Linked DNA regions of Sus scrofa. The protein of the gene in region 1 purifies or fractionates together with the protein of each later gene. This does not show direct contact. Links are inferred from orthologs where the notes say so. Each region holds a gene or a part of one and is shown in the gene's direction. Other genes may lie near its edges.

Region 1 (3,986 bases):
CTTCTTTCTGTTTGATAACAAGTTAGAGGAATAAATAAGTCACCCTAGACCAGGCCTTAGAAGTGCTGGGATCCCTTGCACAGTCTGAACTGTCCCGATGCGACTGTCTCAACACTTCAGCAATGTCTCGGTCATGCCTGTTACTAGGGAAGGTCTGTGGGTGATCAGAATTTTAAACCTTCACCCTAAGCGATATCTTTCCCTGCCTTCTCTTACTCTTCTGCCTTGACCAGAAGCACTCAGGCACAGGCAGTACCGTGGTTTGCACAGTCCCGGTTTGGAAACCTCACCCGTCCTCCTCCTGTTGCGTGGTGGAGGCGCTGTGAGGAACACGTGGACTGGTTAATCCATAAGCACCAAGCATCATGCTCTTGAATCCCTGAGAACCAGCTGCATCCCTCCCTCTCAGGGGCTCACTTTTCCATCTGGCTTCTCTGGGGGCTTCCAGCAGGCCATCAAAGGACCCTGGAAGAGCACTAGTCAGCGGTGGGGGTGCTGGAACCCCCCATGTCTCCTCCCCTAGGGAGGTGGTCAGTTGAGTGATACCTTCTGGCGCCCGTGGGCTGTTTCCCACCCGAGGGGGCAGCATGATGCACAGGGGCACTTTGGGCAGCCGCGGATTCTGGAAGTGCACTCAGGTAGGGCACGGATGTGGAGGTGGAAGGGTGTTCTGGCCTCATGATGCCTCCAGCTGCTAGAGCCATTCCTGGCCTCTTCCTCCAGCGGCCATGGGGGCCTTGCAGCAGCGCTGTCTAAGCAATTACACTGCCTGGTCTCGCGCTCACTCTCTCCCCTTAGACGCATCTGACCTTCGGCAAGGAGTTCACAGAAGCGGTGGAAGCCAAACAGGTGGCTCAGCAGGAAGCAGAGAGGGCCAGATTTGTGGTGGAAAAGGTGAGCGCTCAACCAGATGGCAGGAGCCCCTCTCCCCCTTCCTCCTGTGCTCCGCCTCCCGGTTTGCTGGGTGGCCTGGAAATTCATCATCTGTCATCTCTTCTTCCGGGACATCGGAAGGGGATTGAAGGGACTCTGCTCCTGCAATTGGTTCCAGAGTCTTTGGGGTCCAGTCAGGGATACGTGGGGTTATGTTCCTAAATCACTGAAGGGTAATTTTTTTTCCACTTCCCTAAGATCAAAAACACTCTCCCACAAATAAAGATGTTCCTTCTGGAACATTTTCAGCTTCACTGAGAAGTCGTTTTTAACCATGGTTACACAGTGAAAGCTGACAGCAGAAAGGATCAAACGTTGCGCCAGATGTACCATCATCACTGGATTTTTTTTTTTTTTTTTTTTTCCCTCAAGCACTAAATCCGTCCAGATGTGTCAGAATGGGCTGGGACACAGCATGTTTGCATGGAGCCTGGTCTTTTGGTCTTTGCAAAGATGTATTTGCTTCTTGTACCCCCTTCGCCCCCCGACTAGTCGTCTTGGGTTTATAGTCCTCATCCAAGGGGGTCCTCAGAATCAGAGAATAGAGGGGTTTATGGGTAGACGTTTAACTCCAGAGCATATCACTCCGTGTGGGTGGCGACTTCTTGCTCTCCTTCCTCTCTCCAGCACCTAGAACCTGTCCACAACCGTGCCTGGGCCTAGATGCTAAGGATCACTTGTTGAGTGAACAGTCCCAGAGCCTCCGTTTAACAGCTGTGTGTCCAAACAGCTGTGTGTCCATTGCCGAGAGGCTTGGCACTGTGCTCTCCTCCCGTCCTTCTGAAGGTCGTGCTGTGCAGGTCGATGCCATCCTGTCCCAAAGGGTAGGGAAAGCCCAGGAGAGCTCGTCCTGGTCAGGAAGCAGTTTAGCTCCTGTCTAGGGAGCGTCCCCTGTCTGTGGTCCTTCCGAGCCACGCTGGTCTTGACCGAAGTCGCTTTGACTTGGAGCTGGAGGGAAAGACGAGGGTCGGTTCCTCCTTCTTTCTCTCCTGGTTTCCTTGGCCTGGGATCCTCAGAGCAGGGGGGCTGCATTGCGTTGTTATTCGTGTTCTGGAGGACTGTGAAACAAGACAGCGGTTTCTGCAGCCACCAGAAACATGTCCCTGCAGGGCTGAGCAGTGGGCATGATGGGCGAGCGGAGGATTGGGCGGCCAGTGCTTGCCGACCCCGCCTGCAGGGGGCGGCCCATTCCCAGAGTGCCTTTCAGGGCCCAGTGAGGGCGCCTGACCGGGTGCTTTTGAGGCCGTAGCCTGCCGTCCGGCACCCCGACCTTGCTGTGACCTTGGTCTCCCTCTGCCTCTCCGCCCGCCGTAGGCTGAGCAGCAGAAGAAGGCAGCCATCATCTCCGCCGAGGGCGACTCCAAGGCGGCGGAGCTGATCGCCAACTCGCTGGCCACTGCGGGCGACGGCCTCATCGAGCTGCGCAAGCTGGAGGCCGCGGAGGACATCGCGTACCAGCTGTCACGCTCCCGGAACATCACCTACCTGCCGGCCGGCCAGTCGGTGCTCCTCCAGCTGCCGCAGTGAGGCCCGCCCCTCCCGGGGCCACTGGACCCCAGCCCCGGTGATCTCAGCCGCTCCTTCCTTCTCCCACCCCAGAAATCACTGTGAAACTTCATGATTGGCTTAAAGTGAAGGAAATAAAAGTAAAATCACTTCGGATTTCTAATTACTCTATCAGACGAAGCTCTTTCATTCCTCTCATTTCCATCCCCTCTTTTTATCCACCTCCCCACCAAAAATTGCCAAGTGCCTATGCACACCCACTTGGCTCCCGTCTCGGGGGCCTGCTGGCGCTCCCACCTAGGCACTGGCAATGGGCAGAAGAGAGGCAGGGCTGTGAGTGGGACGAGCCGGGCAGGACGCTGGTGGCCTCCAACCGATCAGTCATTCAAGACCTGAGGCCCATGCAGCTGAACTGCGAACACAGGCCTCGGTTTTTTTCCAGTGGTCCCTGCACAGAGAGGTGCTGGGGAGGGTCCGAGAGGAAGCGATCTGTCTCTCAGCATAAGGCTGATTCTCTTTAACTGGGGCCAGCGGAAGCAGGTGTGTACAACCGACGTGGACTGAAAACTCTGCCCCTGTGAAGGTGGGTGGGCCTGATGTGCTGCCCCTCAGGGTCCTAAAACTGGAGTGGACTCGGCTAGTGAAAGAGCGGCCCTGGACCGAGATGTGAGTCCTGCAGACTTCCTGTCCACCCCCCACCTTGGTGTCAAGTACCGGCGGAATTCCAGCTTGAAGGATTGCATCCTGCCGAGGCTGCACAGGCCTGCCAAAGACGTGTGCGTCCTGCGTTCCTGGCTCCCTCGTTCAGAGACTGCCCTTACAGAGGGCTCTGCGCCTGTGCCTTGAAACAACCACCAGAAGAAAACAAGTGTGTGTAAACTGCTATCAATAAATGACATCCAGACCTCCCAGCTCAGTCGTAATGGGTTTGGTGTTTTCACTTTGTTTTCTGGGTTTTTTTTTTTCTGGTGGCAGGCGGGGGCGGGGGGGGGTGGTGGTTGCTTGTTGGAATTCATGGGTTGAGGACAGAGCATTCTAGTGGTTTTTGTGTGCTGGTGTTTGTATCACCGGCGAGGATAGACTCTCCGGCAAGGCAGAAAATGCTTTGGTTTCAGAAGACACTGCTGTGTTCCAGGTCCAGCTGCAGCCGGAAATAATCGGTGGTGTCAGGTGAGGTTGGTGGCAATGTGGTTTCCTAGGGAGGTGAGGGTGGATGGAGGTTCATTTACCCGTGGCTTTTGGTGCCCCTACAAACTGAGCGTTGTAGGCCCACCACCAAACGAGAGATGGACATAAAACACCCGTGTGCTAATAAGCCCTCCATGCGCTCTGGATAGACTTTGCTTTTTTTGGCCACCCCGAGGCATATGGAGTTTCCGGGCAGGGATTAAATCTGAGCTACAGTTGCAGCTATGCTGGGTCCTTTAACCCACTGGGCTGGGGCCAGGGATCAAACCTGCCTCCTGGTGCTGCAGCAATGCTATGGATTCCACTGTGCCACGGCGGGAACTCCTAGATAGGTGTCTACATTCATCAGATGGCTTCAG
Region 2 (3,812 bases), on another chromosome or scaffold:
TGTGACCTACACCACAAATTACGGCAACGCCGGATCCTTAACCCACTGAGCAAGGCCAGGGGTTGAACCTGCAACCTTATGGTTCCTAGTTGGATTCTTTTGCACTGTGCCACGATGGAAACTCCCAAATAATTCTTAAAAAAATCTTCTTTGGGAGTTCCTGTTGTAGCTCAGTGGGTTAAGAACCTGAGGATGCAGGTTCTATCTCTGGCCTTGCTCAGTGTGTTAAATATCTGGTGTCGACTCAAGCTGCGGTTAAGGTTGAAGAGACGGCTTGGATCCCATGTGGTCATGGCTGTGGCGGTGGCTGGCAGCTGCAGCTTTGATTTGACCCCTAGCCTGGGAACTTCCATATGCCACAGGTGTAGCCCTAAAAAGCAAAACAAAACAAAACAAAACTTTCATGGCATACATTCTTTTAATGGGATGCTTTCCCTTTAAGAATTTTCAGAAACTATTTCATAGTAAATTATATCAATTATTATACACTGATTTTGATGAAGGGGGTCTGTGGTTAGTCATACTGACCTACTTAGTGTTTTACTCAGGTAGATTGGAAGCAGTACTGAAGCACCTGTTCCTTTTCTTCCCCTCACTGGGTTTGTTTTTTTATGGCTGCACCGGTAGCATATGGAATTTCCTGGTCGGGGGTGGAATTCGAGTTGGAGCAGGAGTTGCCAGCCACAGCATCAGAGTTGAGCCACATCTGCAACCTACACTGCAGGTTATGGCAACACTGAATCCTTAATCCACTGAGCGAGGCCAGGAATTGAACCCACATCCTTATGGATACTAGTTTGGTTCTTAACCCACTGAGCCACATTGGGAACTCCCCCCTCACTGGTTTTTGAATGCCAAATGAAATCATCTTAGCAGAAGTTTCCTTAAAAGCTGTATACTTTGTTGTTCAGTGACAATTTGTTGGAAATATCAGCAATAATAAGATGGCACTCAGTAACTTGCAGGCTAACTTGTCACTCTTGTATATTTGGTAGTAAAGGGTAGCAGTGTTTGGGAAGCTAGAAAAAGGATAGTGAAGTTGTTTGAGTAGGGATTTTTTTTGTATGTGTAAGTTAGTGGATTCTTCTAGGCTTAAGAGAAAGTTCATGATGTTATTTATTTTCTTGTTAGGAATTCTCAACATCTGGTTCATCTAATACAGACACTGGTAAAGTTACTGGGACCTTGGAGACCAAATATAAATGGTGTGAGTATGGTCTGACTTTCACAGAAAAGTGGAACACTGATAACACTCTGGGAACAGAAATCGCTATTGAAGACCAGGTAACATTCTGAAAGTGTGCTTTACTATTATTTATTTTTGTATTTCAAAGGGAAATAAAGCTGAAAATAAATTCTTTTTCTTTCCAAATAGATTTGTCAAGGTTTGAAACTGACATTTGATACCACCTTTTCACCAAACACAGGGTAAGCATGGACATTTTTATTTTTTAATTTAAAAAATTTTTTTTGGTCTTTTTCCTAAGGCCGCACTTTGCTCACCTGGAAGTTCCCAGGCTAGGGGTTGAATTGGAGCTGTAGCCGCTGGCCTACACCACAACTCACGGCAACACCGGGTTCTTTAACCAGCCGAGTGAGGCCAGGGATTGAACCCACATCCTCATAGGTACTAGCGGGTTCGTTACCACTGTGTCACAACAGGAACTCCATGGACATTTTTATCTGCTTTAAATTGAAAAGCATTCCTCTTCTGTATTTAGGAAAGGTGCGTATTTACTGTTTGATAGCTTATTGAACTTCAGCTGCCTTATGGCAGATTTCCGTTTCTGACTTTGGAGCATGAAGCATACAGTTGTTCGCTTGCCTTCAAATATTTGCCTTTTATCATTGTGGCACTAATTTGGGCAACTGACATGTGTACCATAGGCTTTTGTGACTGATAGCCAGTTCTGCAAAACAGTCTTCCTGTGGTGGTGGCAGCAGCTCCTTTGCCCCATGTGCCCTCAGTGTGTTCATTGAGCTTGATTTGATTATCCTGCTACCTCTTTTACAGGCAAACCTTGGAGATACTGTGGGTTTGGTTCCAGATCACTGCAATAAAGTGAATTTTGTAAAAAAGCGAGTTACACAGGTTTTTTGGTTTCCTAGTGTATGTAAAAGTTATGTTGACGTTATACTATTAAGTGTGAAATAACATTATGTTGGGCGAAAAAATGTACATGCTTTAATTTAAAAATACTTTATTTCTGGAGTTCCTTGGTGGCTCAGTGGGTTAAAGATCTAGTGTTGCCACTGCTGTGGTGTGGGTTTGTTCCTTGGCACGGAAACTTTTATATGCTGTGGGAGTGCCCCCTCCACCCCCAAAAAATCCAAAAACTGCTTCTGAAAAATGCCATCTATCAAGAGTTCCCCTTGTGGCTCAGTGGGTTAAGAACCTGAGTAGTATCCATGAGGATGCAGGTTTGATCCCTGTGGCTGTGATATAGGCCAGCATCTGTAGCTCCAATTCAGCCCCTTGCCTGGGAACTTCCATATGCTGCAGGTGCAGCCTTAAAAAAAAAAATGCCAGCTTCACCTGAGCCTTCACTGAGTCATAATAGAACATCAAAAGACCACTGACCACAAATAACTGTAACAGATATAATAATAGTTTTAAAAGTTTGAAATAATGTGAGAATTACCAAAATGTGACAGACGCAAAGTGAACAAATGCTGTTGGAAAAAACACCAGTAGGTTTGCTTGATGCAGGATTGCCACAAACCTTCAGTTTGTGAGGGGGAAATGGCCGTATATGCAAAAGCACAATACAGTGAACTGCGGTGAAACAGTGGGATGTGCCTGTACTCCCCAGTTATACTGTAGTTCATTTCAGTAGGTTTTGTGCCCTCTGTGCAGAAGTTAGGTATGTAAATCTTTCCCACTGGCATCACTTTTAAGTCGATTTGTTCTTTTTCCAGGAAGAAAAGTGGTAAAATCAAGTCTTCTTACAAGAGGGAGTGTGTAAACCTTGGTTGTGATGTTGACTTTGATTTTGCTGGACCTGCAATCCATGGTTCAGCTGTCTTTGGTTATGAGGGCTGGCTTGCTGGGTACCAGATGACCTTTGACAGTGCTAAATCAAAGCTGACAAGGAATAACTTTGCAGTGGGCTACAGGACTGGGGACTTCCAGCTACACACTAATGTGTGAGTATTTCTTTTGTGGCATATTATGATGTAGGACCTCAAAGTGATATTAATGTCTGATGTTATTTTCTGTGATTCTGGGTACAACCCAAAGGAGTTCTCTTAACATAAAAAGATCATCTTTGGGCATTTCTAGAGTGCCCCTCAGAGATGTATACGTGTTAGACTGAGACACATTAGTTTCAGTTTGGTGCTGAAAGAGTAGATGTTTATTTCACATGAGGCTTGATGTGCTTTGGGTTTTTAGAAGAGGCCAAGACATTACCAGACTCTACTAGTGCATGCATTTAAATTGATTGTGATGTGTGAGGTGCTCATTTGATAGGATTGCCTAAAAGGTATAGTTTTTATCTAACCCAAATTAAATGTATATGTGGAAAGGACTTAAAAAGATTTCTATCCCTTATAAAAATGATGCATTGGTAAACAACAGAAAAAGAAGAAAACCAGAATTTCTTATAATCCCACTAGATGTATAATCTTTAAAACTTCAGGAAGTTCCCCGGTTGTCTAGTGGCTAGATCTTGGTGCTTTCACTGTTGTAGCCCAGGTTCAGTCCCTGGTCTGGAAACTGAGATCCCACATTAAGCTGCTGCTTGCCACAGCCAAAAATCAAACAAAAATATTGAAAACATTTAAAGTTTTTAGTGACACTCTAGAGACCC

Evidence for each region.
Region 2: the proteins of PHB (region 1) and VDAC2 purify together in Homo sapiens (affinity purification with mass spectrometry; 4 studies listed by BioGRID, with this or other methods). This does not show direct contact. The link is inferred for Sus scrofa from reciprocal best matches to the Homo sapiens genes PHB1 and VDAC2.

Annotation. Positions count from the first base shown.
Region 1 is NC_010454.4:25,595,884-25,599,869, reverse strand, and holds the end of PHB (prohibitin), read left to right. Parts: intron 1-798; coding exon 799-894; intron 895-2,247; coding exon 2,248-2,460; 3' UTR 2,461-3,350; downstream 3,351-3,986.
Region 2 is NC_010456.5:77,773,606-77,777,417, forward strand, and holds part of VDAC2 (voltage-dependent anion-selective channel protein 2), read left to right. Parts: intron 1-1,131; coding exon 1,132-1,284; intron 1,285-1,375; coding exon 1,376-1,428; intron 1,429-2,919; coding exon 2,920-3,147; intron 3,148-3,812. UniProt on the Homo sapiens protein: Non-selective voltage-gated ion channel that mediates the transport of anions and cations through the mitochondrion outer membrane and plasma membrane.